Notamacropus eugenii: one gene and its partners. The protein of the gene in region 4 interacts with the protein of the main gene of each other region in a pairwise test. Links are inferred from orthologs where the notes say so. Each region holds a gene or a part of one and is shown on either strand. Other genes may lie near its edges.

Region 1 (6,862 bases), on a different chromosome or scaffold from region 4:
GTGCACTACTGTAATAGTCTTCTACCGTCCAATGAATGCTTTCCTCCTCTGCTGAATTCCTCATTTGGAAATCAGGTCACATCACTTTTCTGCTAAAAAATCTACAATAGCCTTAATTTACTGCCTAGGCAAAGTTCAATCTCTTGTCTGGCATGTAAGGTACCCTCCAGTCTGGCATTACTACCGTCATACATCAACTATCTAGTTCAGGCCAAAGTGGCTATTCTGGGAATGTACCTTTAGGAATCTTTTTCATTAGTCCCAAAGGAATTCCCCTACCATTCTTTCGTCTACTGAATTCCTATCCATTATTTACAATTCAAATTAAAATGCCAACTCTTTCTCTGGGACCTCACGTAGCATTTTACATAAATCTCTAATGTACACATCATGTATAATTTTATATTATAATTTGTGTGTGTGTGTGTGTGTGTGTTATACTCTCCAGAAATACTAAGTACCAAGAATGTAGAATGATCCCTGACTTACCAAAATTCTACTTCCCCATATCCCTTGACAACGTAGATTTGGGGAGGCAGTTTATAGGATCATAGATTTAAAAATGAAAGTTATCTCAGATGCTATCTAGTCTAATCCTATTATTTTACAGGTAAGCAAACTGAGTTCCAGATACGTTAAGTGAGGTACCCAAGGTTATACAGGTATTAAAGAGGCAGAGAATTTAAGTGGGTCCTGACTCCATCTCCAAGCACTGTACCATGAAGTGGGCAATTAATACATGCCTATTGAATTGATTTGAGTGTATTCCCAGGAATGATACTTTAAAGTAGGTAGGACAAGTATTCACTTAGGAAACTGGCTCAGAGAAATTTTCATTCTTTAACCATGCCTCAATTTGGGGTAGGGATTCTTAACTTGGGATACAAAATAGACAAGAGGTCTGTGGAAAGATTTTAAGGAGACTGTGAATTTAGATGGGGGAAAAAGACTTCTTTTTAAAAACTAACCTCTAATTAAAATTGAGTATTTCTTTCAATTATTTAAAAACATTATTTAGGTGAGGGATCCATAGGTTTTACCCGACTGCCAAAGGGGTCCATGACCCAGGGGAAAAAAGGTTAAGAACTCCTGATTTAGGGCCATAGAATTTAGAGCTGGAAAGGGTCCTTAAAAACCACTTAGTGTATAACCTCTTTTAAAGGAGTCAACAGAGGCACGAAGAAATTAAGGGGACTGTGTCTTGCTCTCTGGTGGTGGTATGTAGAAAATATGTCACATCTAGATTAATTAAAATTAGGCTTTGGTTTCTAGACACTTTTCACTACACCACCCTGTCTCTGGAGTTTAACTTAATTAAAAAAAAGGCATTATTACTATTAAAAAACTTTTAAAAATATCACGCTTCCCCCATCTCTCCTACTCTCTCCCCCACAAACATCTGTGCACACACACCATGTATACATATATACATACCACATGCAGACATGAACGCACAACATATATACCTATAAACACACACCACATATACACTGTCCACAATACTGTCATATATGTAACACCACATACATACCACAAATATACTTTATACATTCGCACGCACATGCATGTACACCACATAAACATATACCCATGCATACAAAATACATCACATAACATATGCATACCACATGCATATACAGCATGCTTACACTCATACATGCACGCCACATATAACATAATCAGACACACATATATTCATAAACATATATTACATAAAATATGTATATACCATATATACACATATAAGCATACACATGTAAACACATACACACACCAGACATGACATACAACTACAAACATAATGTGTTTGTGTACACGCATGTGTATACATGTACGCAACACAAGCCACGTACATGTCTATATCCCACACTCTCAAGCCATATCACAGCACACATTTCGCCCACATAATACATGCTCGCACATGTACAATCACACACAATCATACTACATTCATATACGTATAAACATATACCACGCAAACGTAATCAAATACGCCACCCAATGACATGTGTGCTGTGTTGTATCCCACTCTTCATGACCTGTGAGGTGGTTCTCTTGGCAAAGATAGGCGAGGGGCTGGCCACTCCCCTCTCCAGTGGAGGTGATCTGTCTAGGGCCGCACAGCTAAGGAGTGTCTGAGGCCTCACATGAACCTCTAGGCACGGATCTACCTAGCTGCCTCCACCGCCTGGTACACACACCGCACATACACAATGACACAATCACACATGTGTTCGTACGCTACACACACATACAGACACCACACATACACACTCACGTACACGTGATCACATATGCACAATACACCACACACGTGTTCCCACTACATTCATACATGTAAGTACATCCCCCATATACACACTCACAGTCTACAATCACACCGCACACACACATACACAATCCACCACGGAAACCTGACCTCCCGCTCACGCTCTCCCTCGCCCAGGCCGCAGAGCTCCGAGCTCCCCCGCCACCTCCCTCCCGGCTCGCCTCCCCGTGCTCCGGCCGACCCCGGGGCAGTCACCTGGCAGGGCCATAGCCCGGGCGGAAGCAGCCTCTGGGCCTCAGCTGCCGTTGCCACCGCCGCCGCCGCCGCCGCCGCCGCCGCCTTCGCTCCCCGGACACCGCTTCCGGTGACTCCGGCTGCGCCGCGGGTTTCCCCTCTCCCGCCACAGCCTCCTCTTAGGGACCCGAGTCCCGAGGAAGACTACAGAACGCGGCAGTTTCAGCCGCAGTTCGCGGACGGAGGCATAAGACCGAGCACTGGTGGTCCAAACCATTTCTGACATATACATACACCGGGGGAGGGCGTTTAGGACTTGCCAATCGTTAACTAAAGATTGATTTAAAACAAAAGAAAGTTTCTTGCGAAGCTAGATAATTAAATGAATATTAACTTCAAGCGGATGCTCAGCGGGCTCTCTTCACTCTCTCCAGGAGAATTTCTGTAGGAGAAGGTCGAGGACACCCCTCCCCGCAGAGAGCGGTGCGCAGGGCCAGGTGCAGTATGGCGGCCGCCTGGGTCAGTTAGTGCCTTGTTAGGCTGTCGGAAGGGCAGGACCGGCAGTTGATGCCGTAGCTGAGGCCGCCTCTAGGAGCTGTCAGGACTGGCCCGCTGGGCTTTCCCTTCGCCGTGCAGCGCGGACGGTCAGACAGAGAGCCCTTGAGCCTCGTAAGGAGCCCGGCAGCGGATCTCCCCTCCCCCGACAGCCGTCCAGGATGAGCAACATTTACATCCAGGAGCCGCCCACCAACGGAAAGGTGAGAGCGCGCGCGGGCGCGGGGGAGCTTCCCCCTCGCTTCCCTGTTGGCGGGGTGCGCTGTGGAGAGCGCCGGCCGCACCTTGGAGTCGGGAGACCCGAGTTCGAATTCCCGCCCTGTCGTTTACGAGCCGTGCCGCCTTGGATCAGTCACTTACCTTCCCCGGGCCTTAGTTTCCTTGTCTTTAAAGTGAGGAAGCTGGACTAGATGACAGCTAAGGACATGGCAGATTCCATCCCCCATACTTGGGGAAGATTTGCAGTTGGACCCGACGCGAACTGGGTGCTCAGTTTTTCAAAACACACAGAGAGGGGAACTGTCTACTTTCTCCTCTTTCCCCCCAGCCTTCCTTCGACCTCAGAACTTTTGAAGCAGGGGACTCTTAACCCTCTTTTGTGTTCTGGACCCCTTTGCCGGTCTGGTGAAGTCTGTGGAACCTTTCTCAGAAGAATTTTGAATAATTGGTTAGTGAAAATAAGGATGTAATTTTTTTCCCATGCAAATTTACAGGAACCTCTTCCCCCCCACCCCCCCAAAATCTGTTTACATCCCCTAGGTAAAGAATCCTTGCATGAAAGGAAGCCCAGTCAAGTATTTATCATGAACCCACTATGATCCAAAATCCGGATTCTGGAATCTGGATTCAAAGGATCCCAAAGTGGGCGAAGCTGGAAGGATCCAGGCTCGGGGCAGGACTGGTGGTAGAAACCTTGGGTGCAGTTGGGAGAGCTTAATAAAAATAAGGGGCTGTGGAAGCACAAGGAAAGAAGAGAAGAAAATTTTGAAAAACTTTGTACATGTCTCATCTGTTGTGTAATGAAGTCAAAGTCCTTGTGAGTAAGTGATTTTCCAAATAAGCATACAAAGTGCAAGCTATAGCCCATCAGTGGTTAAGTCCAGGGGCAGGTCTTAAACAAGCAGATGTTGGCAAGTGAGGTTGCCCTGCATTGTCAGAAAGTCCAGAATATCAGCGGGAATCCCTGCAGGCCATGACTTTTTACAATAGGATACTATGTTCAAAATTTCAATGCAGTCAAAAACCCCACAAATTTATAATAAATTATTAGATTTAGCTTGTGTAATTTAAAAAAAATTTTTTTGAAATGATGCAAATTTTAAAAAACACTTTAAAGTGTTAAAGAAAACTTTCTTTGTAGATTTCCAGGGGTGTGCCAAGTAATGTTTTTTTGAAAAGGGTCCTTAAGCCAAATAAGTTTGGGAACCTCCTATCTAGATGCTGGAGATCCAGGTAGGGCCTTTGGTACCACCTAGTCCAAACCCTTCCTGTTGTAGATGTGGGAAGGGAGATGGAATGATGGGACTTGCTTAAGGTCACCTGGCTAGTAAGTGGTCAGCCAGCCAATAAGCATTTATTAAATGCCTACTACAACATTTATTAAACCCCTGTGACAAGTGCTGTGCTAAACGGGGATTCAAAAAGAGGGAGAACACAGTTCCTGCCATAAAGGAGCTCACAGTCTAATGGGGGAGACAACAAACAAACATGTACAAACAAGTTATATACAAGATAACTAGGATATAATTAAGAGAGATTTGGGGCACTAGAACTAAGAGGGGTTATGAAAGACTTTCAATGAAAGACGGGATTTCAATTAGAACTTAAAGGAAACCAGGAAAATTACTAGGCAGAGTTGAGGATGGAGAGCATTCCAGGCCTGGGGGACAGTCAGAGAAAATGTCCTGAGCTGGGAGATGCAGTATTTTGTTCCTGGAACAGCAAGGAGGCCAGTATCAGTGGATTGAAGAGGATGAGTACATTTCATAGAGTAAAGGCTTAAGAAGAGTAAAGGAGGGCTCTAGAATACGAAGGGTCAAACAGAGGATTTTTGTATTTGGTTCTGGAAGAGATAGGGACCCACAGGAGTTTTATCAAGAAAAACAGTCAGTAAACATTTATTAAGCACCTGCTTAATTGCCAGGTACTTTGCTAAGCACCAGGGATACCAAAAGGGTAAAAGAAAGTTCCAGGCCTCAAAAAGCTTATAATCTATGAGGTAGACCATATGCAAATCTATGCAAAGCAAGTTATATACTGGAGAAATAGAGATAATTGAAAGAGTGAAGTTTATTGAATAGACATGGTCGACCTTGCATTTTGGGAAAATCATTTTTGGTTGAATGGAGGGTGAATTGAGTGGGAGAGACTAGAAGCAGGCAGACCCACCTGCAGGCTATTTTCAGGGTTCACTTTAGAGTAATGACAGTGTCAGAGGAGAGAAAAGGGCATGTTTGAGAAATGTTGCTGCAGAGGTAAAATCAACAGGCCCCTGAGAAAAGATTGGAAATGGGGGTTGACAGTGAGTACAAGATAACTCCTAGGTTGTAAGCCTGAGGACTGGGAGGATGGCTTTGCCCTCTACAGTATTAGGAAAGGTAGGAGGAGGGGAGGGTTTAGGAAGTAAGATAATAAATTCCATTTTGAATATATTGAGTTTAAGATGTCTACAAGGTAGCTGAAGATGTGAGATTGGAGATCAGTAGAGAGACTGGGAAAAGAAGGGTAAATTTGAGAATCATTAGCTTTAAGGATGATAATTAAATAGATGAGATCTGATGAGATCAGCAAGTGAAGAAGTAGTATAGAGGGAAAAGAAAGCCCCAGGTAGAACCCTGAAGGATATCTGTGGTTGGAGGGCATGATCTTTGGGAAGATCCCACAAAAGAGACAGAGAAAGAGTGGTCAGATAGGTAGGAGGAGAATCAGGAGAGTCATATCCCAAAAACCTAGAGAGAAGAGAATATCAAGAAGAGGATGATCCATAGTCAGAGGCTATCAAGAGGTCAAGGAGACTAAGATTTGGAAAATTTTGCCACTGGATTTGAAAACTAAGATCACTGGTAACTTTGAAGAGATCAACTTTGGTGGAATGATAAAGGTCATAAGTCACATTATAAAGGGTTAAAAAGAGAGTGATAGGAGAAAAAGTAGAGACACTTAACATACATTGCCCTTTTAAGAAATTTACCTACAAAAGGCAAAAGAGAAAGAAGAGAGGGGATGGAAAGATCAAGTGACATGTTTTTAAAGGTGAGGAAGACACGAATATCATTTACATTCAGTAGGGCAGGAATTTCATAGATAGGGAGAGACTGAAAATAAATGAAAGAGTGAGAATGAGAAAATTGCCCTTTGTTGGAGGAGCTGGAATAGAATGGGATTAGTTCAGCAGGTGGTTGGATTATCCCTGGTAAAGAGTAAGGGACCTTATCATGTGAAATGGGTGAAAGGAGATAGTGGCAGAAGCATATGAGTGATGTGAGATGAGGAAGAGGGGAGAAGAGGGAGTGCATGATGAATGGCCTCAGTTTTTTTTCTATAAAATGTGAGCAGGTGAAAAGAAGAACTGCCTAGCAAGAGTGAAAGTTGAAGTTTCTGGGTGAGAGCCCAGTTGAGGCTATGTTACATAAATTTGTAGTAGAATGGTTGCATGAGATTTTCTCCATCATCATTTAGCAGCACATATGTAGATGTGGGTAGTTGTGAAGGAGGTGGATGGAGGAAGTGATCCAAGGCTGAGGCTTGGCAGGATATAATTAGTGATATGCTAAGAGTGATAGAGAGTTAAACAAAGAGGACCAT
Region 2 (6,955 bases), about 190 Mb from region 4:
GGTGGAGCACAGAGCTTAGAGGGAGACAGCCTGGATTGGAGGCCCTTCTCTGACCTTCAGTCCCTTCATTGGTATCCCACAGAAGCAGCACAGCCATGGACTGAATGCTTCCAAGCTGTGTGCCCCTGAGCAGGTCACCAACATCTGGGGGCTTCGGGGAACTCGCTAGGAATCATCTACTAAACCATTTTTTTTGCTGGGAGCTCTTCAAACTAATGATATCAGAGATCCCATGTCACCAGAGGTCCTGGGATGGGCTTTGTCAACTGCCCCATGGCAGATGTGTGCTGGTATGGATTCATCAGATACTCACCTTGTCTTCTTGACCTGAATGCTGCTACTGAGTTTTTCCAACACGTATTCACCAGTGTCATGATTAATGATAAGAACACAGTCTTTCTGATAGGGTCTTTTGTTTCCTTTGAACACAGTCATTGGAGGTGTCGATCCCTATTTAAAGTAAAAGCACAAGACAGTCATCTTAAATGACACATGGAATGTGCCACTAACTAGAAAAAGGTGACTATCTTTTAAAATGGTTAGCTAGCATGAGTAACTCAGACTCATTTTAAAAAGCCCTCCCAACTAATTTAAAGTATTTCCATCCTTTTCTTACCAGTTAAAGTTGTGCATATAGAACAAAATGTACTGATTTCTGGGATAGCTTTTGGTTCCCCCTGGGGATCAAGACAAATAGTGATATGATGTTTATTATCCCTGAGCGGACTAAATGATCCTAAAACAGGGACAGTAATAATTTAAGTATTTTATTTCCTCTTCTATTAATCTGGGCAATTAATGTTTTTGCAAATATTCATCCATTTTGTTTAGATTGTCAGATCTGTTGGCATACAATTGGGCAAAACAGCTCCTAATTATTACTTTAATTTCTTCTTCATTGGTGGTGAATTCACCCTTTTCATTTTTGATACTTGCAATTTGACTTTCTTTTTTTAAATAAAATTAACCAAAGATTTATCTATTTTAATGATTTTTTTCCATAAAACCAGTTCTTAGGTTTATTCATTAGTTCGAGTTTTCTTAATTTTAAAAATTAAACAAATTTTATTAATCTCTCCTTTGATTTTCTAATTTGATATTTAATTGGAGATTTTTAATTTGTTCTTTTTCTAGCTTTTTTTAGTGGCATGCCCAAGTCATTGATCTCCTGTTTCTCTATTTTACTCATCTGCACATTTAGAGATATAAAACTTCCCCTAAGAATTGCTTTGGCTGCATCCCATTAATTTTGGTATGCTGTCTCATTAACAGAGACAGTAACAATGGACATCGGTTACATGCTACGAAGTTGCCAAAGCATTTTATCTCTATTATCTTACTGAGTCAAATCTTTCTCTGTTCTGGTCCATCCCCTCCCCCCCAAAGCTGTAGACCTTGCTCCCCAAGAATTCCCTACACCAGTGGCATCCCCATTCTGGACAAAAAAGTGCAGAGCCCCAAACTGGGCCTGGAGATTCAGGGACAAAAACACGTCTCCTCCCTCTCAAGGAACCTTCCTTCAGGTGCCCATTTTTCAGCATCTTGGGCTCAAACCTCTCTGGATCAGTTCTGCTTTGGGACGCGACACCTCGATTTGATCTCTGATCCCGGGCTCCTCTTACGGAGACGTCCTGCTTCCATCCCAGCTGCCCAGACCCTGTGGCCTTAGGCCTGCCATCTCTGTCCATCCCCTTTAATTCTGGACCCACGCACGGCCTGGGCTTTAGGTGCTTATGGGGGACTCCACCCTCCACCACCCTCCACCCAGGTGACTCCCAGCCTGGCCCAAGGCTCCGGGCAGCCACGTGTTGGTGAAGGCGGTGCTAGCCACTTTTCCTCTAAGCAGCTGACCCTTGTAAGGAATATTACCCCATTACCACCCAAAACCATTAAGGACAGACACAGCCCTGGCACAGCGGGGCACTCCCGGCCTTAGACACAGGCCCACTCACCGGGATGTGCGGCAGCGTGATGGTGACCTCGTCCCCTTTGCCCACCTGCAGCTCTCCTTCGCACGAGGTGTCTATGGACGCCGGCTTGAAGTCATCTGGGAGGACAGACACGGTCAGGCCCGGCCGGGCCGCTGACCCGGGGCCCCCTGGCGGGCCCGGCTGAGAGCTCGGACGTCGCCCTGGCTCGGGTGAGCGCCCAACACCACGAGCCCCCGCTGACGGGGGGGGCCGTCTTAGGCCGCCCCCCACACGGAGCCCGCGCGGAGCCGCCCCGAGTCTCCACGAGGAAGGCTTTGGGTCGGACGGGGCTTTTCTGGGAGGCGTAAGAGGAAAACCCAACAGCCCGATATGACGGCGAGAGAAAAGCGCGAGGAGTGACGGGCCGAGCTCCGCGACCCCGGGCCTCAGTGTCCTCCTTTGTCCGGAGGGTCCAGCGGACCGCTCCCGCGTCCGGACTGCCGGGCCGCCCCCGCCCCGCGCGGGGCTCACGGGTCAGACCGGGACGCTAAAGGAAGCCCCTGGGCCGGGCCTCGGGAGGGGGGCGGGGCGGAGGGGCGCCGGGGGCGTCTACGAGGAGTCTGTGGGGGGCGCTGGGAAGGTCCCGGGAAGCGGGAGGGCGGAGCGGAGGACTCCACCGGGGCCCGGGGCGGGGGGGGAGGGGGCTCGGTCGGGGGCGGGAGGCCGGTCCGGCCCGCGGGTACTCACAGCGGATGGTGTGGAAGGAGGACTTGGGCCTCTTCTCGAAGCTCTCGCCGAGCTTCAGGCCGTGCTCCTCGCGGTCCAGCAGCGGGTTCGCGGTGCCGTTCATGGCCCTTTCCCCGCCGGGGGAGGCGGCCTCCAGTTACCGCCCGGTCCGACCCCTACGCCGGTTTCTTCAGCGCCGCCCCCGCCCTGAGGGCCGGCCGGCACTTCCGGCAGAGGCAGGGGGGAATGGTGCAACTGGGACACCGCTCCGCTCCGAGGCTGCGGGGGCGGGGGCGACCCCCAAAAGAGGCCGGAATCTCCTTCTACGCTTCCGCCGCGCCAGGGGCGGGGTCTATGGGGAATAGGGAGGGAACTTCCGGCGTCACCGCCCCTACCGGAAGTGGGGCGGAGCAGTGCTACAGGGAAAGCGTTCCGACCGAGGCCCGGGACTGAGCACACTTCCGGTCCGCGCCTGGGAGGGTACGGGCTGAGCTGCTCTGGGACAGGGCTGCGCACCTGCTCCGCCAGCCTTGGGCCTTGTCCGTGCGCCCCCGGCCCCGGCCCCGGCCCCGGCCCCAGGCCGACTCGGCCGCTCGCCACAAGCCGGGTAGGTAAGGCCAGTTAGGGAGGTTGTGCCCATCCTACAGACGAGGAAGCTGAGGCCCTGGAGACCCAGAGTCCTCATCCCGGCCCCTCCACTGACTAGCCCCATGGCCACACGCAAGCCCTCTCCTCCCCCCCGACCTCAGTTTCCCGGTTTGTAAAAATTCTGTTCCAAGATGAGGGTGGGAGGAGCCCCGGCTCTCTGACTCTTGGGCCTCAGTTTCCTTTTCTGTAAAACGAGGGGGCTGGACCCCACGTCCCTTGCAGCTCTGCTCCCCCCACGAGCTTGGCCAAAGTGGGGGTGAGGGGCCGTCCAGCCCCCAGCCTGGCCCCTGGTACCCAGCCCTGGAAATACAAAGGCAAGCCTGCCCCCAGGGGGTAACGCTTGGACAGGCCCTCGAGGCCCTGGAGGCCAGCCGCACCTCCCTAGGGCCCGTGGTACCTGGTCTGGAAAACGTGGCTGTACCCCCTGGGGTGGGGGGTGCAGAGCGGGGTTTAGGGGGGCGGCCTGGGGTGGGGGGTGCAGAGCAGGGTTTGGGGGTGGCCTGGGGTGCGGGGTGCAGAGCGGTGTTTAGGGGGGCAGCCTGGGGTGGGGGGTGCAGAGCGGGGTTTGGGGGGTGGCCTGGGGTGCGGGGTGCAAAGCGGTGTTTAAGGGGGCAGCCTGGGGTGGGGGGTGCAGAGTGGGGTTTAGGGGGGCAGCCTGGGGTGCAGGGTGCAGAGCAGGGTTTAGGGGGGCAGCCTGGGGTGGGGGATGTTGAGGTTAGACTCCCCTCCCCCAATAGATGCCATGGTTTCCTTCTTGTTCCCACACAGTGGGTGTGACAAAAATTACATTGGCACATAGTCTGGCATATAGTGGGCACTTATTAAATACTGGATTTTTCAGGAATTCTGTTTCTGCTGAACCATCCTCTGGGGAAGGGAAGAAAATATCACCACAACAATAATAATTGCGTCTGTTTATATGACTGTGTGCCACGTACATTGTGCTAAAATTGCTTCGTAGTCGTCTCATTTGGATAAACATTTATATTGTGCCTACTGTGTGCAGGCACTGTACGCTTGTGACACAGGAAGCTATAGCCCAGCAATGAACCCGTTACTATGTCGCTTCTAATCTACATAAATTAAAACAACAGAAATAGAATATAAAATGATCACATGCTCTCATTCAACAATCCAGGAAGACCTGGATTTTTGCTGAGTGGGATTTCCCCACTTGATTTTTGGGTGATGCAAATACAGTTTTACAAATACTATCTCATTTTATCCACCTTAAAATGTTCAACTGACCGTATTCTCATTTTTATTCCTTTTTTAGCTCCTGATCCTGTTTGAGTCGGGGGAATTGCTGCCTGAAAATGAACATGAGGAAACCTAGCTAAAAGAAATTATCCTCAAAAGGGCTGCAGGAAGATGAATTCATCTGGGAATTACAAGGATGAAGACTCTTTAATGGGATTACACGTGGTAATGTCCACCAGTGGAGAGAATCTACTTCGGAAGAAAGAACAAGAGAGCAGGCCTCAAGACAGAGATGGTACAGTTGTGTCTCCCTTTAAACAGGCAAAACTAGAAAAGGAGGCCCAGAAGAATTGGGACCTGTTTTACAAGAGAAATAGTACAAATTTCTTCAAAGATAGACACTGGACCACCAGAGAGTTTGAGGAACTGAGGGCATGTAGGGAGGTAAGTCAACTAATACTGCCTGTATAAGAAAGATAGTATGTGTTTGTCTTTCGTTGCCAAAGAAAAACATGCCATCAGAGAAATAATGATGACTTGTGAGGGAGGGCTGATAAGAGAAATAAGGCCTGAATGGGACTCCTGGGGAGGAAACGTGCTGATCCAACATCCCTGTAAATTATGGTATTAGCGATTAAGTTACTCACGGGACTTAACCGAGGTCCTCCTGACTTCTGAGGCCAACTCTAGCTCAGAAGTACCAGCACCTAGTAAGCATTTAACGAATGCTAGTTGACTCTGCTTTTGTGGGCGTTAAGTAAATGCCAGTGAATGGGTCTCAGGTTTTGGAGATTCGTTAAATGCTTAGCAGTCTACTTGAAGGTGTCTTTTCTGCTGTCCTGCTGTCTTAAACTCTGCACATCTTATCTGGCTTACTTGGTGCTTGTGACATGAAAAATACAGTTGGCCAGCAAACCATTTACTCGAAGCTGCTAGTGAAACTTAATCCAACACAAATTAAGACAACACAAATAGAACATAGAATTATCACATGCTTTCTATTCAGCAATAAGACCTAGATTTTGAATAGGTGAGAATTAGCAGTTTCATTTGCTGATCATGCAAATATAACATCTACTCTTTTTTTTTTCCCCTCAGTTTGATGATCAGAAGTTGATTATCCTTGAAGCTGGCTGTGGGGTTGGAAACTGTTTATTCCCACTTTTAGAAGAAGATCGAAATATCTTTGCTTATGCGTGTGACTTCTCACCCCGGGCTGTGGAGTATGTTAAGGTTGGTATAGTAGGTCTGTGATGATACTTCTTTAAGCCCATTTATGTACATTTGATTTGGCACAATGGAGGCTAAATTAATCCTTTTCTGTTACAATTGATGTTACCAATTAGTGCAAATTGTGAAAGGGAAAATAAGTTGGTTGTATGCATATACTGAGACTCTGACCAGCAGCTTTTAGGTGGTGACCCCCTTGGTAACTGGCAGAGTGAAGGTGACAGGTTTACTCACCCACTTTGTCACTCCCGTGACCCATGACATCTCACTCTTGAATTGGAAGCACAGAGTGGCAGATAGAAGAGACTTTTGAAGTAATTTTTGCCTTAACTCCTCCCCAAAGCACAAAGCGAGCTGAGGGATCCTCAAGTGAATTGTGAAGTCTCAGTGATCCTTGCCTGTCAGCACTGATTGTGAAACATCTTTCCTTATGTTTTCTTGAAATCTGCCTTCCTGTAATTGCCCTCCATTCCCGAGGGCCAGGCAGGACGAGCCTGCATGACAGAGCTACGTGTCAGGATTCAGATGTTGGCTTGTAGCTCTCAAGTCCCCAGGGAGTACTCACTTCCTTCAGTGACTCATCTTTTGGCCTGGGTGGTACCAGGTCCCATAGCGTCGCAGTCATTGTCCTAGGACTTTTCAAAAGGGCTCCAGAAGCCTGGCAGGGACACTGAAGGGCTTTACCATTTCCTTCTCCAGCTCATTTTGCAGATGAGGAAACTGAGGCAAACAGGCAGAAGTGACTTGCCTGGGGTCACACAACCAGTACATGCCTGAGGCCAGGTTTGAACTCCCAGTGTTGAGTCTTCCTGACTTCAGGCCCAGCACCACTCTCTGCACTGCCTGGGTGCCCCAAACTTCTCCCCTTAGCTGATTTTGACTCAGGTCTTTCCTTTTCTCCCTGTAAGTTTTCATCTTGTTAGTCTCATCTTACGATCCCAGCAGAGGACTTTTGCTCCATCTTGGTCAGTGATTAATGAATATATAGATGTGAGAATCAATAAAATAGGTTTCTGAAAATCTTAGTCTAAATATTTTATGAGTTCAGGATTCTGCCCAGTCCTGGAGTTACAGCCATACTGTCAGGGTGTAAGACATACAGTCCTGGGATACCTTATTGATAATGGAAAAGGAATACTAGAGTTCCTTGGGATTCCAATACATTGAAAAACCTCTCAGTCTTAGAAGGAAAAGATCCCCTGCCAATCCTCCATGCTTCAAAGAGAATGAAAGGATGACTG
Region 3 (7,736 bases), on a different chromosome or scaffold from region 4:
TTTCCTAAAATACAGATCTGACTATGTCACACCCCTACTCACATCAACTCCAGGGACTTTATGTTATCTCTAAGAAGTACTGTGTTTGGCATTTCAAAAGCCCTTCATGTCCTAGCCCCCTTCTACCTTTCCAGTCTTCTTCCACCTTCCTCTTTGCCATGTACTCCTCCTGGCTGTCCCACAGTCAAGACCTCCATCCAGCAGCTCCAGGCATTCTCCCCATGCGCTTCCTCCTCCACTCCATCTGCTGACTTCCCCGACTTTCTTTAAATTCCAACTAAAATCCCATCTTTTACTGGAAGCCTTCCCCAACCCTTCTTAATTCTAGTACCTTCCCTGAGTTAATTCCAATATTTCCTGTATATAGTTTGTATATGTGTGTATGTATATATAACACATAAAAATATATACGTGTGTGTGTATAAAATTTGTTTGCCTGTTGTTTCCCCCATGATCCTGAACTCCTCAAAAACAAAGACTGTCTTTTGCCTCTTTCTGTACCCCTACTGCTTGGCACATAATAGGTACTTAATAAGTGTTTAATGACTGACTTCAGGGATGGATTCAATCAGTGGGGAAAGTTGAGAACACCCTGGCCATCTTGCCATCAGCCCTGCCAGCCTCCAAACTGGGCCAGAAACCATACTCTTGTCCTGTGGCCCCACTGTTCTGACCGGTGAATGCTTCATTATATCCCTCCTTGTTTCACTTTACACTGTAGCAACCCACCCTGCCTCCCTCACTCCCTCCTTCCAGCTCTGGAATCATAATCAGTACTACCATTCCTATTAGAAAGTGTGTCAATGACCCCCCTTTCTCTCCACTCATCATCTCTTCTACCTTCCAGATCAAAATTCCATCCTTAGCCACCATACCCTCTTATGCGTATTGGCTCTCCCATTAGAAATAAGCTCCTTTTTGTATTTCTATCTCCAGCTTTTAGCACCGTGTTTGCACATAGCAAGTACTTAATAAATGTTTTTGCATTCATTCATTCAAAAATAAAGATTGTCAATGATTTTTTAAAAAGGGGAGGGAAGAGATCACAGGGAGGAGCAGCACAGAAGCAAACAAGAACGAGCATGGCTTGTTCTGGGACTGGCAACACCCATGGAGGCCACACTGACTGACCTGGAGGGGTGTGAAGGGCTTCCTGTCGGGTCATGCATGCGCTCACAGCCAAAGAGTACTTGTTTTCCAGTCAACATTTTCTGATCGATTTATCACTGGATCATTGATTGAGAGCTAGAAGGAATGTTAATGGTCTCCAACTCAAGTAGAAATGGGAGCCATGAAGTTGTACATAAGGATCTCTGAAGATCTTTACATTAACTTAGAAAGTCACACACCAACATTATCTGTGTTCTATTGTATTTTTATTTATTTGATTAAACATCTTCCCAATTACATTTTGATCCCGTTCAGACAGTGCTCTGTTGGGAGTGTTGTGCCTCCTAGAGTGTGTTTAAAACCTGATCTAGACCAATCTCATCACTGGAGATGAGGAAACCAAGTCCCAGAGAGTCTGTGTCACACAGACCAGAAGGGAGTAAGCAGCAGCAGGGATTTAAACCTAAGTTAACTACTTCTAAATCTAGCACTAGCCTACACTGCCTTCCATGTCAGAAATCCCATGCTTCAAATGAACCAAAAAGTGCACAAAGCCAATGCAACCAAGATTAGAAGGGAAGCAGAAAATGGGAAACAATGTTTACAATGTCTTTGATAAAGGCCTCATTTCTAAAATATATAGAGAATTGAGTCAAATTTATAAGAATACAAGTCATTCCCTCGTTGATAAATGGTCAAAGTTTTCAGAGAAAGAAATTAAAGCTCTCTATAGTCATGAAAAAATGCTGTAAATCACTATTGACTGGAGAGATGCAAATCAAAACATCTCTGAGGTACCACACTACACCTATCAGATTGGCTAACGTGACAAAACAGGAAGGTGATAAATGTTAGAGAAGATGAGGGAAAATCGGAACACTAATGCATTGTTGGTGGAACTGTGAGCTGATCCAACCATTCTGGAGAGCAGTTTGGAACTGTGCCCAAAGGGACACAAAAATGCATACCCTTTGACCCACAATACCATTTCTAGATCTCTGTTCCAAAGAGATTACAAAAATGGGAAAAGGAGTCACGTGTACAAAAATATTTATAGCAGCTCTTTTTGTGGTGGCAAAAATTGGAAATTGAGGGGATGCCCATCAATTGGGGAATGTCTGAACAAGCTGTGGTATCTGAACGTAATAGAATATTATTGTTCCATAAGAAATGATGAACAGGCGGATTTCAGGAAAACCTGGACTTGCATGAACTGATGCAGAGTGAAGCAAACTGACCCAGGAGAACGCTGGGCACAGGAACAGCAGTGTTGTTCGATGACCACTGTTGACAGACTTGGCTCTTCTCAACAGTGCAGGGATCCAAGACTCCTGATGGAAAATGCCACCACATCCGAGAAAGAACTGTGGAGTCTGAATGCAGATCGAAGCAGGCTGTGCACTCTCTTTTTGTTTCTTCTTTCACGTGGTTCCCAATTATTGGTTCTAGTCCTTCTTTACAACATGATCAATGTGAAAATATGTTTAATAGGAATGTATATGGGGAGCCTGTATCAGACTGCGCACCATCTTGGGATAGGGGGAGGAGGGAGGAGAAAATTTGGAACTCAAAATCTTAAGGAGTGAGTGTTGAAAACTGAAAATAATTAATTAAAAAAATGAAACAAAAAGCAGAGAACAGGTGGCTCTGTGGCCTCAGATTCTAAATTTGTGACAAAAGGACCACATTCAAGGGAACCAGTGAGGGGATCCTTAGCCTTGTCCAGCCCAGTTTCTTTGTATGGGAACCATAACTGCCCTTCCCAAAGTGACTGATCATCTTGTAATCGACAAATCTAGTGCTTTTCCCTCATATCTCACTTGTTTCACCCCTTTAGCATTTATCACTACAGACCACCCTTTCCTCCTGAATACTGTCCCCCCTCTTCCATCTTCCTGATTCTCCCCTGTGCCCCTGGCCTGCCAGAATTCTGTCCTGAGTCTTCACTCTTTACATGCTCTCCCTGTGATACCCTTAGATACCCTTAGTGCCCACAGGTTAAACACATGAACCATGTCTCCAGCCCTTGGACCTTTGCCCAGCTGCACCGCCGGCTCCTCCTCAGGAGTCTCCAGTTGGACCACGTTATCCTATACCCTCCATCCCCCGCCACTTCTGTGCAGGGCACCGTCATTCTGCCAGTCACCCAGGTTGGCAACCCCCCATATCTAATCAGATCTCAAACACAGCCTTCCAACTGGCCTTTGCCTCAAGCCTCTCCCCAGGGGTGGCCTCGAGGCCACGTGTTCTAGGTCCTCGGGTGCAGCCCTTTGACCGAGTCCAAGTTTTACAGAAGGATTTGTTCTATGAAGGTGGCTCCAATGGCAGGGCAGCACTCGAGGACCTGGAGGTCCACAGGTGGCCTCGAGGCCCTCGCCACCTCCTTGCGCGGAGTCCTCCCCACAGCTCCCTACTGCCCGTGGGATCCGACACTGCGAAGGCCTTCACCCCCAGACCCCAGCTTACCTTTCCAGCCAAACTGATCTTCCTGTTTCTCCCATCTCCAGGTCTTTGCCCTGGCTGTGCCTCATTCCCTAGTGCCCTTCCAGGTTAGCTCCAGGAGTCCTCGTGTGCACGAAGGCGCCGCATCCCCAGCCCCACACAGTGCCTCGAGGGGCCGTGGAGCCCCTGGGAGGAGACCCGCCGCGGACGGAGGAGGTGCCCCGGCCTTGGCACCGAGGAGGGGGGAAGCCAGGGCGCAAAGAGAGGCTGCCATATGAAGCAGGTGTGAGCGGCGCTCCTCCAGGAGTCGGGCTGGAGGACGAGGCCGGGCTGGTCCCCGCCCCTCGGCCCCCCCGCCTGAGCGGGTCCCCGCCCCCCGGCCCCCCCAGCCTGGGCGGTCCCCGGCCCCCCGCCCCCCGGCCTGAGCGGGTCCCCGCCCCTCGGCCCCCCAGCCTGGGCGGTCCCCGGCCCCCCGCCCCCCGCCCCCCCCAGCCTGAGCGGGTCCCCGCCCCCCGGCCCCCCCAGCCTGGGCGGTCCCCGCCCCCCGCCCTCTACCCCCCCCCCGCCCCGGCCTGGGCGGTCCCCGGCCCCCGGCCCCCCGCTCCCCGCCCCCCCCAGCCTGGGCGGTCCCCGGCCCCCCGCCCCCCCCCAGCCTGAGCGGGTCCCCGCCCCCCGGCCCCCCCCCCCAGCCTGGGCGGTCCCCGCCCCCCGCCTGGGCGGTCCCCGGCCCCCCGCCCCCCCCAGCCTGGGCGGTCCCCGCCCCCCGGCCTGGGCGGTCCCCGCCCCCCGCCCCCCCCTTGGCCTGGGCGGTCCCCGCCCCCCGCCCCCCCCTTGGCCTGGGCGGTCCCCGCCCCCCGCCCCCCCCTTGGCCTGGGCGGTCCCCGCCCCCCGCCTGGGCGGTCCCCGGGAAGGCGGCGCTCAAGGGCCTCCGCCTCAGTTCCCCCTCTGAAGAACGGGAAGGAGGCAGGCCTGCTCGGACTGCCCGTGAACGTGGCGCGGAGCCGAGGCGGCGAGGCGTGAAAGCGCCCTCTGTAGGCTGCGAGGCCCGGCCCCGCAGCGCCTCCCGGCGGTGACCGACGGAACCGCAGGACCTTGCCAACTCCTTCTCCATCCCCGCCCCCGCGGGAAAGAGGATCGAGGAAAGAGAGGGGCGGGGGAAGGCGGGCCTTCCGGCCGCGGCTCCGCCCACTCCGGCTGGGGCTGTAACGGCGGGCGTTCTCCTGTGCCCGCTCCGCTGTGGCCTGTTCCCCCCCCCCCCTTATTGTGCCGCGGCGGAAGAGCCTCCCGGCAGACTGCGAAACTTGGTGAGCCAAGCTGGGCCTGGGTCGAGGAGCCTGCGGTCCAAGAGGGTCTGGAGCCGGACGGGCCACGGGCCACGCTGGGGTCCCTGGTCCTGAAGAGCTGAAGGGACGAACTCGAGGTGTGTGTGTGGGGGGGGGGGGTGCCATGGCCTGAGGGGGGTTAGGGGCGGAGCCTGCAGGAGCCCTCCTGGGGGGCCCGAGAGGAGGGGGTTGGGGGCAGGGTGGGGCTTGCGGGAGCGCGCCTGGGGCCTGATAGGAGTGTAGTGTGGGGGCGGGGCTTGCGGGAATGCGCCTGGGGCCTGAAAGGCGGGAGCAGGGCTTGCAAAAGCACGTCTAGAGCCTGATAGGAAAGGGGTAAGATTTGAGGGAGCGTACCTGGAGCCTGATAGGAGAGAGGGCTGGGGGCGGGACTTGAAGGAGCGTACCTGGAGCCTGATAGGAGAGTGGATAGGGGCGGGACTTGAAGAAGCATGCCTGCATCCTGATAGGAGAAGGGTGGGGGCGGGACTTGAGGGAGCGTGCCTGGAACCTGATAGGAGAGGAGGGTGAGGGCGGGGTTTGCGGGAGTGCGTTTGGGGCCTGAGAGGTGGAAGTGAGACTTGCAAGAGCGCGTCTAGAGCCTGATAGGAGAGGGGTGGGGTTTGAGATAGCGTGCCTTGGAGTCTGATAGGAGAGAAGGCTAGGGGTGGGACTTAAGGGAGCGTGCCTGGGCTCTGATAGGAGAGAAAGCTAGGGGAGGGACTTGGGCGTGCCTGGGCTCTGTTAGGAGATGGGGGGGGTCTTGAGGAGGCATGCCTCGGGCTTTATAGGAGGGGAGTCTGGGGCGGAGCTTGAGGGAGTGCATCTGAGGCCTAATAGGTGGAGTGAGGGGGGCGGGATCTGCAGCGGCACGTGTGGGGAACGGGGAGTGGAGTGAGCCGAGGAGGCATGCAGCGAGAGAACTGAGGGGTGACGTCCGAGGTGTGAAGGGAGGGGGCCGCCCATGGGCTGCCAAGGCCCAAGACTGGCTGAATCGGGGACAGAGGGGATGTCTAATAATGGACATAACGCTTTAAAGATTGCTGACCTCTGGATCTGCAGGACACCAGCAGGTGCTGTGGTTATCCCAGTTTTACCGGCTCGCCCACGGCCCAGACCTCCCCGACCGCCCGGGGCCAGCTCCCTGCTCTGTGACCGCCGCCCGCACTAACTGGACTTGGTGTGTCGTGTGCTTTGAAAACTTCACAGGGCTGTATGAATGGGAGTTATGGCTGAGGCTTGCAAAATGCTTTCCTCAGTCACTTTGTGAAAGGGTTTTTTCATTTATGTTTTTATTTTTGGGAGAAAAAACATTGGATTTGGCTGAGGTCGCAGAGCTGGACCCGGGCAGAGCCCGGATGCAAGCCCAGGCCACCCTCCTCCCCATTCAGCCTCCTTTCCATTACTAGCTCCTGGATTCCCTGTGACCTCGGACAAGTCAGTGAAGCCCTTCCAGACCCTAGAAAATGTCGTGGAACTTGGGTTTCAATCCCAGCTCTTCCATTCACCACGTGTGTGACCTGTACAAGTCATTTTATCTCTCGGGACTTGTTTCCTCCTCTGTAGAAATGAGGAGGATTAGACTTGATGACCTGAGGTCATTTCCAGCTCTAAATCTGTGATCCTACGAGTGATTTCTCCCTCAGTCTTGGTTTCCTCATCTGTAAAATATGCGTTGGGCCAGGTGATCTCTTAGGTCTCTTTCAGTTCAGATGTCCTCTGCTCAGAAGGCACTTTCTGTCTCTGATACTACCCAGTCTGTGACTGTTAGCATTTCAGATCAGAGGAGGACATTGAAGAACTGGTCAGTTGGGATAGTGCCTCAGTCTTCACACAGGGTGCTCCATGTTAGCAAAGACTTTGTTTCCCATATTGGACAAGGAGCTCTTTGAGACGACAGAGGTCTAATGTCATGGGACATTAGAATGGATCTCAGAATGTAGAATTATAGCATGTTAGAGCTGGAAGGAATTTTTGACACCACCTCACTCATCCCGCTCCTTTTACAGGTGATACTGGTCCAAAGAGGGAAAGGTAATTAATTGGCCAAGGTGATATTGAGTCCATGGAAGAGTCAGGACCAGAGAGCAGATCTCCTGCTGTCTATCGCAGACTCTTTCAGGCATCAGGCTGCTTTCCCAACCTTTGGCTGTTCTTTCCTCCAATTCTAGCTTGGATACTCAGTCTCTTAGAAGTTCAGAATTCTTCCCTTATGGGAAGGCTGAACAGAGAGTGTCTCTAGTCATCTCTCCTTCCTCTTCCCTAGAAGGGGATGGTAGAGCTACAGGGGTGGTAGAGCTAGGGAGCTGGCCATCTACAGAGAGATGGGCCCTAAACTTTGTCCATAGTTTCTCTCTGGGTCATTTATCCTCGAGAAGGAAGAGTTGATGTCAGGAGAAAGATATGGGAAATGGTCTTCTTGTTTTCTCTTTTGTTTGTGAGAAGATAGAATGAACTGAAGCAGTCAGGTACAGTGAGAAGAATAAAGAGCAGCTTGGGAGATACTGGAGCAAGGCATGGGTTTGAGTAAGCTTCTGTTCATGAGCAGGAACAATTAAGCACTTACTTGTACCCTGCCCTGGGGAATGCACATAACAAATAATGAAACAATCCCTAATGGCCAAGAACTTGCATTCTAATGTCATCTTACCCTCTCTGAGCCTCAGCTTCTTCCTGTGAAATTAGGCTAAAAAATCCTTGCAGTATCTAACTCACGGGGCTCTTGTTGGTAAAGCATAGTAGAAACGTGAGATGATGAGGATGTTGTTGATAATAATTCTTCCTGGTTGATGAGCCCGCTGCCTGTCAGAAAAGCGGTGATCTATTTGGAGGAAAGTGTAGATGGCATGCTCATCAGATGTTCAG
Region 4 (7,263 bases):
AGCATTATAATAGCACTTTAGGGTTTGCAAAAGGCTTTATATGTTAACTCATTTTATCTTCAAAACAACCCTGTGACTTGGGTGCTTTTATTATCTCCTTTTTACAGATGAGGAAATTGAGCCTGGGAGGGTAGGGTCCCAGCATCTGAGGCAGGATTTGAACTCAGACCTACCAGGTCCAATTCACTGCACCACCTTGCTTCCACTTGACAAAATATGCACTTGGCTCATCAAGGGTTTGATAAAAAGTCTCTTCTTTTAAGGCCTCTCCTTTTCCATGGAACCTTCAAATGAGGTAAAAATAGGAAAGGAATAGGACCGAGGTAATGTAAACAAGGTATACTGATTCCTATTAGGCTTCATCTTGTTATTTCTGCCTATCTTTTCAGCCCTAAGAGATGTTTTTAAATTGTAATTCTGTCAGCTAGCACACTGGTTACCTGTCCCTGCTTCAGGTCATCCACAAACTTGACAAACATGTTGTTCCAGGCAGGTCTAAAAGCACTTGGTTACTTCACAGAATCTGCTTTTTAAAAGCATTCAGCAATGCCTTGCTCAAGTCAAGGCACAACTAACATTTTCCTGATCCATTAGTCCAATGGCTTCATCAGAAAGTGAAACAAGGTTAGTTTAGCAGGAACATATTTTCCTCTTCTTAAAAGCATCCTACCTGATAACCTCATCATAATGCCCAACTACTGTTCTCCTCCCCCTCAATGGCAGTCACAGTCCCCCAGCTGTAGTTCTAAGGGATAATCTGGAGAATCTAGAACAGCTTTGTGGCAAAGTCAAGAAAATCTGAGTTCAAATGTGACCTCAGATATTACTTAGCTGTGTGAGCCTGGGCCAGTCTCTTAACCTTTGCCTGCCTCTGTTTCTTCATCTTTACAGTTGGGATGGTAATACTACTATCACCTATCCTCCAGGGATAAAATGAGATATTTGTAAAGGGTTTTGCAAACCTTAAAGCTCTACAGACATGCTAGCCATTATTTTTATTAGGCATTCCTGAGGGGTCTCAAGCAGGTCTCTTGGGAAGGGGGTGGGGCTCCAACCATGAAAGGGGCAGAAGAAGCTCACGTTCTTCTTGTCTGCTTGTCCCTTCTTCCGCTCTTTGTTTGCCATGATCACTCCAGTTCGAAGTGTCTCAAAAACAGGGTCATTTCGGTTGGCTAGGAGTAAAAGGGGGCATAGGAAAGAGAAGGAAACATTACTGACGAACAGGAAGAGAGGGTCCTCTTCTGTGGAAGACAGCAGGACTGAGTGGATACAGGTGGGGAAGGAGGTCTGAGAACGTAACAGGGAAGTGAGGGGGGAGACTAGAAGTTTTGCTTTCTACTTAGAACTCAGGGACACTTGGGCCTAGAAACAACAGGGCTGGTATTCAAGATAGGTATGGATTCCTTCCAAGAGTCTACAAGCTGGAGTGGCTAAAAATTTCAGGATGAGAATAAAACCAGGGTGTCTAGAATTTAGGCATCAAGAGACTTCAGTCTTAAGTTTCAGTTTCCCAAGTCAGGAGTGGTGCAGTCATGGTGACCAAGAAGCTTCCAGACTACAGAAACAATCAATTTTCTGGCATATTTCCCTCAACTGGGTGGAGGAATAAAGGCAACTTACACAGTAGGTCCTTGACACAGGCATACTGCTGGTCACTATAGAGTGGAGAACTGTAGGCTCGGCGGAAACCAGGGGGCTGTGGGGGAGACAGGAAGGTGATTGAGACAAGGGGAGAGGGCCCTGGACCCAAAAGCCCCCTCTCTGCACCCAGGAGCCTTCCTCCTTTATTCAGGGGGGTTTTGTCCTTTATGAGTGGGGCTGGGGAAGCAGATACCAAGGAATGAATGGGGGTAACTTATGAAGCATTCATCCAGAGTACAGATGTCCTCAACACTACCCTCCACCCCCGTGCTCCCAGACCTAACTCACAATCTTGCCAAAGCATCTCTGCATCTCCACAAAGGATTGGCAGTGTTCATGGATATTGGTTTTGCAGTTCTTGCATCGTAGCCCAAATTTGTTGTTAACTTGGTAGAGGGAAAGAACATTTGGGTGAGATCACGAAACCTTTTCTCTACTCCTCTGCTTCCAGCATCACCCCAATCCCGAGTGACTCCTCTTTCATTTCTTAGATTGCCTCAACCTATCCAGGCTTCTCTAAGCACATCCATTAACAGTCCCCACCTTCATCTAAATTTGTGCAATATTGATCTCTCTCCCAGTCCCTTCAACCCACAGTCCCATGACGCTCTACACATCCCATCTTCCTCTATTTCCCAGACTCACGAACAATCATTCTGGCACAGACATCACAGAATTTGGGCTTCTTGAAGAAATGATCTTTGAACTTGTGGGGCTTGTCATTGACAAGCTTAGGGGGTTCAGGGGGTGGCTCCTCTTCCTCCTCTTCTTCCTCTTCCTCCTCCTCATATATGTAGTAGATGGGTCCCCCCTGAGCCCCTACTGCCTCTCCATTGGCCTGGGGCTCAGAGGGGGGCTCCATCTCCTTTCTTTCTACAGACTCCTTCCTGAATAATTGCTTCAGCCTTTGTAGCTAGGGAGGAGCAAAGGGAAGATTCAGACTACAGTTCCACTTCGTTAGGCTAAAACCACCTGGGAAATGTTCTGGGTCAAGGGTTGAGATGTTCCCCAGAGGGGAGAGGGAGTGAGAGTGTGTGTGTAGGGCAAATGTACCTTAAATAAATTACACATAACTGAGATGAGCCCCACAGCCTCTAGTTCTGTAACCATCAGTTCAGATAAGAGTGGGGTTGTTAGTGTGCCCTCCCACCTATCAAAGCCCTGTGTCAGAGGCCCAGACTCACCCCACTCTTTGGTGTTTCTGTTGGGAAAGATTTGGGAGAATCCAGAACCTCTTTTTCTGTCATCCTGCAAGAGTGGGGATCCCACTGTTGATTTTTCATCCTTCCTTGCCACCCCTCCCCCCTCCCTTTCTTACTTCTAGGGACTCAACTCACCTTGTAGGATAGGACAAATAGAGCTTTGGGAAGAGAACTGCAGGTCTCTTAAGCTGAGACACACAAAGGGGGTCTCTATCTCCCTCTTCCAGAATGAGAGACTAATAAACAAAGGAGCCTAAACAAGGAGACTCCATATAAGGGCCCAGACTGGGAGATGACCGAGGTAGGCCTACGGAAGACAGCCTCCATTCCCTTGTAGAAGTTCCATCAAGACAGACTTCTCATTTTGAGGCTTTCTCTTTTCTTCAAGGCTATAGGCAGTTGTATATGACCCTATGTAACCTTTCCCTGGATTCCTTTTCTCCCTCCCCCAAATTCTCACTTTGAGAAAAGAGGTAGAGAATTCCCGCTCCCCTCATTTCTCCAAGCCTGGGGGTGGGAGTGCGTTTTAACACTACCTCTAGGTCAGGCCCTGCCCCAGCCTGCCTTGGGGGTTGGCTATTTTTAAGTTTTCAATGTAATATGACCTCCCTTCTCTACTACTCTATACCCTGGACATTAACTCCCCAACCCTCTTTCCTGATCCCAGCCCTTTCTTCAGGGAAAGAAATGACTGGAACTGGTACACCCCAGACTACTTAACAGCCAGGTAAGGCAAACGGGAGAGGTGAACTGGCTGAGAGATGTGGGAGCCCAAGGAGTCACTGTCTGGTAAGTCGTAAGAAAAGGCAACTTACGTTTGGGATTCCCTATGTCAGTCCACAGCCAGTGGAGGTAAGAGGATGCCAGGTTAGGAGGCTTGGTGTTGGTGTTGGATGGGAATGGAAAAAGAAGGCTTTGTCCTCTTGCCCGGGGGGCTTTATACCCCCAAAATACCCTTGGTGCTCACGTCTCCCCAGCTGGTGCGTGCAGACCTAGCCTCTCCCTTCAGCGTCACAGCTTAAGTGACAGGGCTAGAGGAGAGTGGACAGCTGAGCAACACAGCTGACACAGAGAAATTGGAAACTAAAAGGCCTGGGGCAGTGTTGGACCCTGACCTCCCTCCCCCAAATCTCTTCAGCCACAACTGGCTGAGATAACAGCTGCCCTATCCCCACCCCTTCACCTATGTTCAGTATAGTAGTAACTAAATGCTTTACAGGACAATTCCGCTCATATTTTGTGCCCCTTTAGGAGGGATTCTGGAAAGTTGATTGGAGTAAAAAAGGTTACAACCTGCCCCTCCTCCACTTTGAAAACTAAACACTTTCATCATTTCTATCTACTCCGGACCCACCCTTAGAAGCCATAGGCTACTGGCTTCAACTCCACCTATTCACATCATCCTTCCCCAAGTCTTTGTAGGGCACCTACATTTGAATATATCAAGGGTGGCTTTTTGTCCCTTTATGAACACTTCAGGCAGATGTAGTCCTAGGCTGAGAACTGGGGTGGGAGATAAAAGAAAGACAACTCAAGTTCACAGGGTTACTTCTCAACAAGATATGGCTGCTTCCTCATCCCTGGTGAGGGGAAGGGGATAGCTTACCTGTCTTGCAAAGAACTGTACAATCTAATATGGCCCCCTTTCTTGAATCGTATCTGGACATTCATTCCCCGCAATCTCCCATCCCAACCACGCTGGCAGGGAGCCCGAGTGTGACTGAAAGTGGTCTAGGATCCATATGGGAAAAGGGAATGAAGAATCTCAACAACCCAATGACCAGATGGGGGTGGGGGGGAGCTGCCTCCATGTTTACAAGAAACAACAATGGAGAGATAGTTTCAGCTACTTAAGAAAATGTCCTCATAACTAGTGTATCGCCAGACCTCTATTTCCTGACCCTCCCACCATGTTAGTCAAGAAGACTTTAGGGGCAAGATGGCCCTCCCATTCCCCCTCTCTCTGATGGTTCTCAACATCCTGATTCCCCTTCCCCCACACCAGAATGCCCCAGAACATGGACTTCACAAATATGGCCAATTTGTACCTGAAGTGCATGTCACAGGATCATAGGGTAACAGATTTCTAGAACTGGAAGAGACCTGAAAGGTCATCTAGTTTGACCCCCTCATTTTAAAGATGAGGCCACTGATACCAAGAGACCTTGTGACTTGCCCAAGATCACCCAGAGAGTAACAGAGCCAGCAGAGCTGGAATTCTAACCTAAGGCCTCTGACTCCAAGTCCAGGGCTCTCTCCACTGTACCAAGCCATTCTTCTTCTATTAGTTTGGGTAGGGGGATAGCTTGGCGGGGAGATACTCCTACCACAGCAGAGAAATTGTTAATGACAACATATTGCCTCACCAATTCCAAGTATGAAGTATGAAGACCCTCTAACAGCTGGATTAGACTGGAGGGTCAGAAAAAACCCAATAGAGAAGCTACCTAGCCCCAAGTGAAAGCTCAGGCTGTTCAACCCATTTCTGTTCCTTTCTACATGGGGTCCAGTGGGGTCAAAGATCGCCAGTAAGTTTCTGGCAGTGAGGTTTTGTGTAGGCTGAACTTGAAGGTGGATCTACTTCTAGGCATCTGGGTTCTTAAGATATCTTAGGATCGAGGGCAACTTAAGGAAAATGAGATTTACTGAGAGGCATGAGGATCAAAAAGGGGTATGTGGCGATATAGCATAGGGCTAATTTGTTAGGTATGACTTTTCTTTCTCCTGTATGTAGGAAAGGGGATGCTGAGACTATCCTGACTGACTGAGGAAGTCAAAATACTGCAGGTTCTGGAAATGCAGCTTTTATTGCAGGGAACACTTACTCCCCTATTACCTGCCAGCACAGTATTAAAAAAGACTTCAGGGGGAAAGTGGAAGATGAGGGCTGGGCCAGAAACTCAGCTGCATTCATGTCCTCACTTCATACCTGCCCCATCAGGGACCTGAAGCCAAAGGTTTAGACACCTACAGGAACAGGTGGAGGATTGATGGGAGAATGAAAGAGGGTGGCAGGATCACATCCATTTGGAAGGCAGCTCCACTCCACTCTATCCCAAATCCTTCCCTGCAACCCCCTCCCAAGGGCAGTAACAGAGAAACCAGGACTGACGTCCAGTGACAGATGATTTTTTTTTATATTTAAAAACAAAACAAAAATAAAATAAAATAAAACCCCCCAAACAACCCCCCAAAACAAACAAAAAACCCAGATTAAATAAAATTTACAGTGAACATACCCAGCAAACATCTGTATGTGCAATTAAATACTGTGTCTGTTACTGCGGCACGAACCTCAAACAAACAATATACAAGTGTTCTGGGGGGCTGGGGTGGATAGAGGAGGGGTAGGCACAGGTTTAACTCATGGGATAGGGGAGACAAGATGGTGGGGAAGTGAAAGGAGGGGGAAAATCAATTTATTTTTTTCTTCTTAATTCTGTCCATATAAATATATTCATAAAGACCAAAAAGAGGAAGAGGAGATGGGGTGGCAGGAGAAGGGGAGGAATGGGGGAGTGTAGGACCCCTCCATACTACCCCTCCAAAATGAAAGAAATGCATTGGAGGCCAGGATGGGGAAAAAGGGATGTCCAAAAAAGGAGGGAGAGGATTGGAGGGAAAGGGAGGCAGAGAGGAGAGGTGCCACCCAGAGAAAGAGAGGGAAAAGGTGGCAAAGAAAACCCCAGACTGAGTCCTCTGTGTGTGTGTGTGTGTGTGTGTGTTTGTGTGTGTGTGTTTGTGTGTGTTTGTGTCTGCCTGTCTCACTGTCTATGGCCTCAGTCTCCATATCTATGTCTTATCTCTATGCATGTCTCATGTCTGTCTGGATCAGCATCTCTATCTGTGCTTTTTCTGCATCCCTTGCCCACACCACCCTGCCCCAACCCGTGGTGCTGGCCTCTTCCCCTCCTCTGCCTACTGGGAGCTGGCCCGCTCCAGGATCCTCAGGTCATAGTTCTTTTTGGCCACTCGAAGTTTGAAGCGACTCACGGAGTTGTTGAGGCGGAGGGAGGCATTCTGGGCCGCCAGGGGGCTGGGGAACACAGCCACGATGGTGTATAAGGCAGCGAGGTCTGTGTGCCGGCCATTCTCGGCAGTCCCATTGTTGTCCCCCCCACCCCCCCCACCGCCCCCGCCCCCGCCGCCTGGCAGCCCCTGAGCGTCCTTGAGCCACTGGATCTTGGCGCCGGACATGGCGAGCTGCGTGAAGAGTTTGTCGGCCTCTGTGCGGGTGATGCCCTCAGGGAGATCTGTCACCTCCAACACCCGCCCCAGGACTGGAAGGGGGAGAGAGGATGTGGCTGTGAGGGGCGGAGGGGGCAAGAGGAGGCGGGGACTGGACAGTGTCCTGACAGAGAAGGATCCAACTGACCAAGTCCATATACACTGTTCCCAGAAGCCCCACCTCCCCCACTCC

Evidence for each region.
Region 1: the proteins of STAC3 (region 4) and SREK1IP1 interact in binary tests that used the Homo sapiens proteins (3 or more experiments, as listed by UniProt). The two-hybrid records come from large-scale screens. The link is inferred for Notamacropus eugenii from reciprocal best matches to the Homo sapiens genes STAC3 and SREK1IP1.
Region 2: the proteins of STAC3 (region 4) and EAF1 interact in binary tests that used the Homo sapiens proteins (3 or more experiments, as listed by UniProt). The two-hybrid records come from large-scale screens. The link is inferred for Notamacropus eugenii from reciprocal best matches to the Homo sapiens genes STAC3 and EAF1.
Region 3: the proteins of STAC3 (region 4) and C1H1orf35 interact in binary tests that used the Homo sapiens proteins (3 or more experiments, as listed by UniProt). The two-hybrid records come from large-scale screens. The link is inferred for Notamacropus eugenii from reciprocal best matches to the Homo sapiens genes STAC3 and C1orf35.

The regions. Positions count from the first base shown.
Region 1 is NC_092875.1:319,600,106-319,606,967, forward strand, and holds the start of SREK1IP1 (protein SREK1IP1), read right to left. Parts: upstream 3,002-6,862; 5' UTR 2,538-3,001; coding exon 2,525-2,537; intron 1-2,524. Other genes in the region: spliceosome-associated protein CWC27 homolog, read left to right, coding at 3,220-3,261. UniProt on the Homo sapiens protein: Possible splicing regulator involved in the control of cellular survival.
Region 2 is NC_092874.1:38,508,201-38,515,155, forward strand, and holds the start of EAF1 (ELL-associated factor 1), read right to left. Parts: upstream 3,002-6,955; 5' UTR 2,761-3,001; coding exon 2,658-2,760; intron 2,444-2,657; exon of another isoform or gene 2,242-2,443; intron 2,048-2,241; coding exon 1,953-2,047; intron 451-1,952; coding exon 314-450; intron 1-313. Other genes in the region: tRNA N(3)-cytidine methyltransferase METTL6, read left to right, coding at 4,656-4,928, 5,583-5,717. UniProt on the Homo sapiens protein: Acts as a transcriptional transactivator of ELL and ELL2 elongation activities.
Region 3 is NC_092872.1:9,916,465-9,924,200, forward strand, and holds the start of C1H1orf35 (multiple myeloma tumor-associated protein 2), read left to right. Parts: upstream 1-4,735; 5' UTR 4,736-4,972; intron 4,973-7,736.
Region 4 is NC_092874.1:232,680,160-232,687,422, forward strand, and holds the start of STAC3 (SH3 and cysteine-rich domain-containing protein 3), read right to left. Parts: upstream 3,021-7,263; 5' UTR 2,925-3,020; coding exon 2,826-2,924; intron 2,555-2,825; coding exon 2,287-2,554; intron 2,028-2,286; coding exon 1,930-2,027; intron 1,697-1,929; coding exon 1,621-1,696; intron 1,173-1,620; coding exon 1,081-1,172; intron 1-1,080. Other genes in the region: R3HDM2 (R3H domain-containing protein 2), read right to left, coding at 6,762-7,147. UniProt on the Homo sapiens protein: Required for normal excitation-contraction coupling in skeletal muscle and for normal muscle contraction in response to membrane depolarization. Required for normal Ca(2+) release from the sarcplasmic reticulum, which ultimately leads to muscle contraction.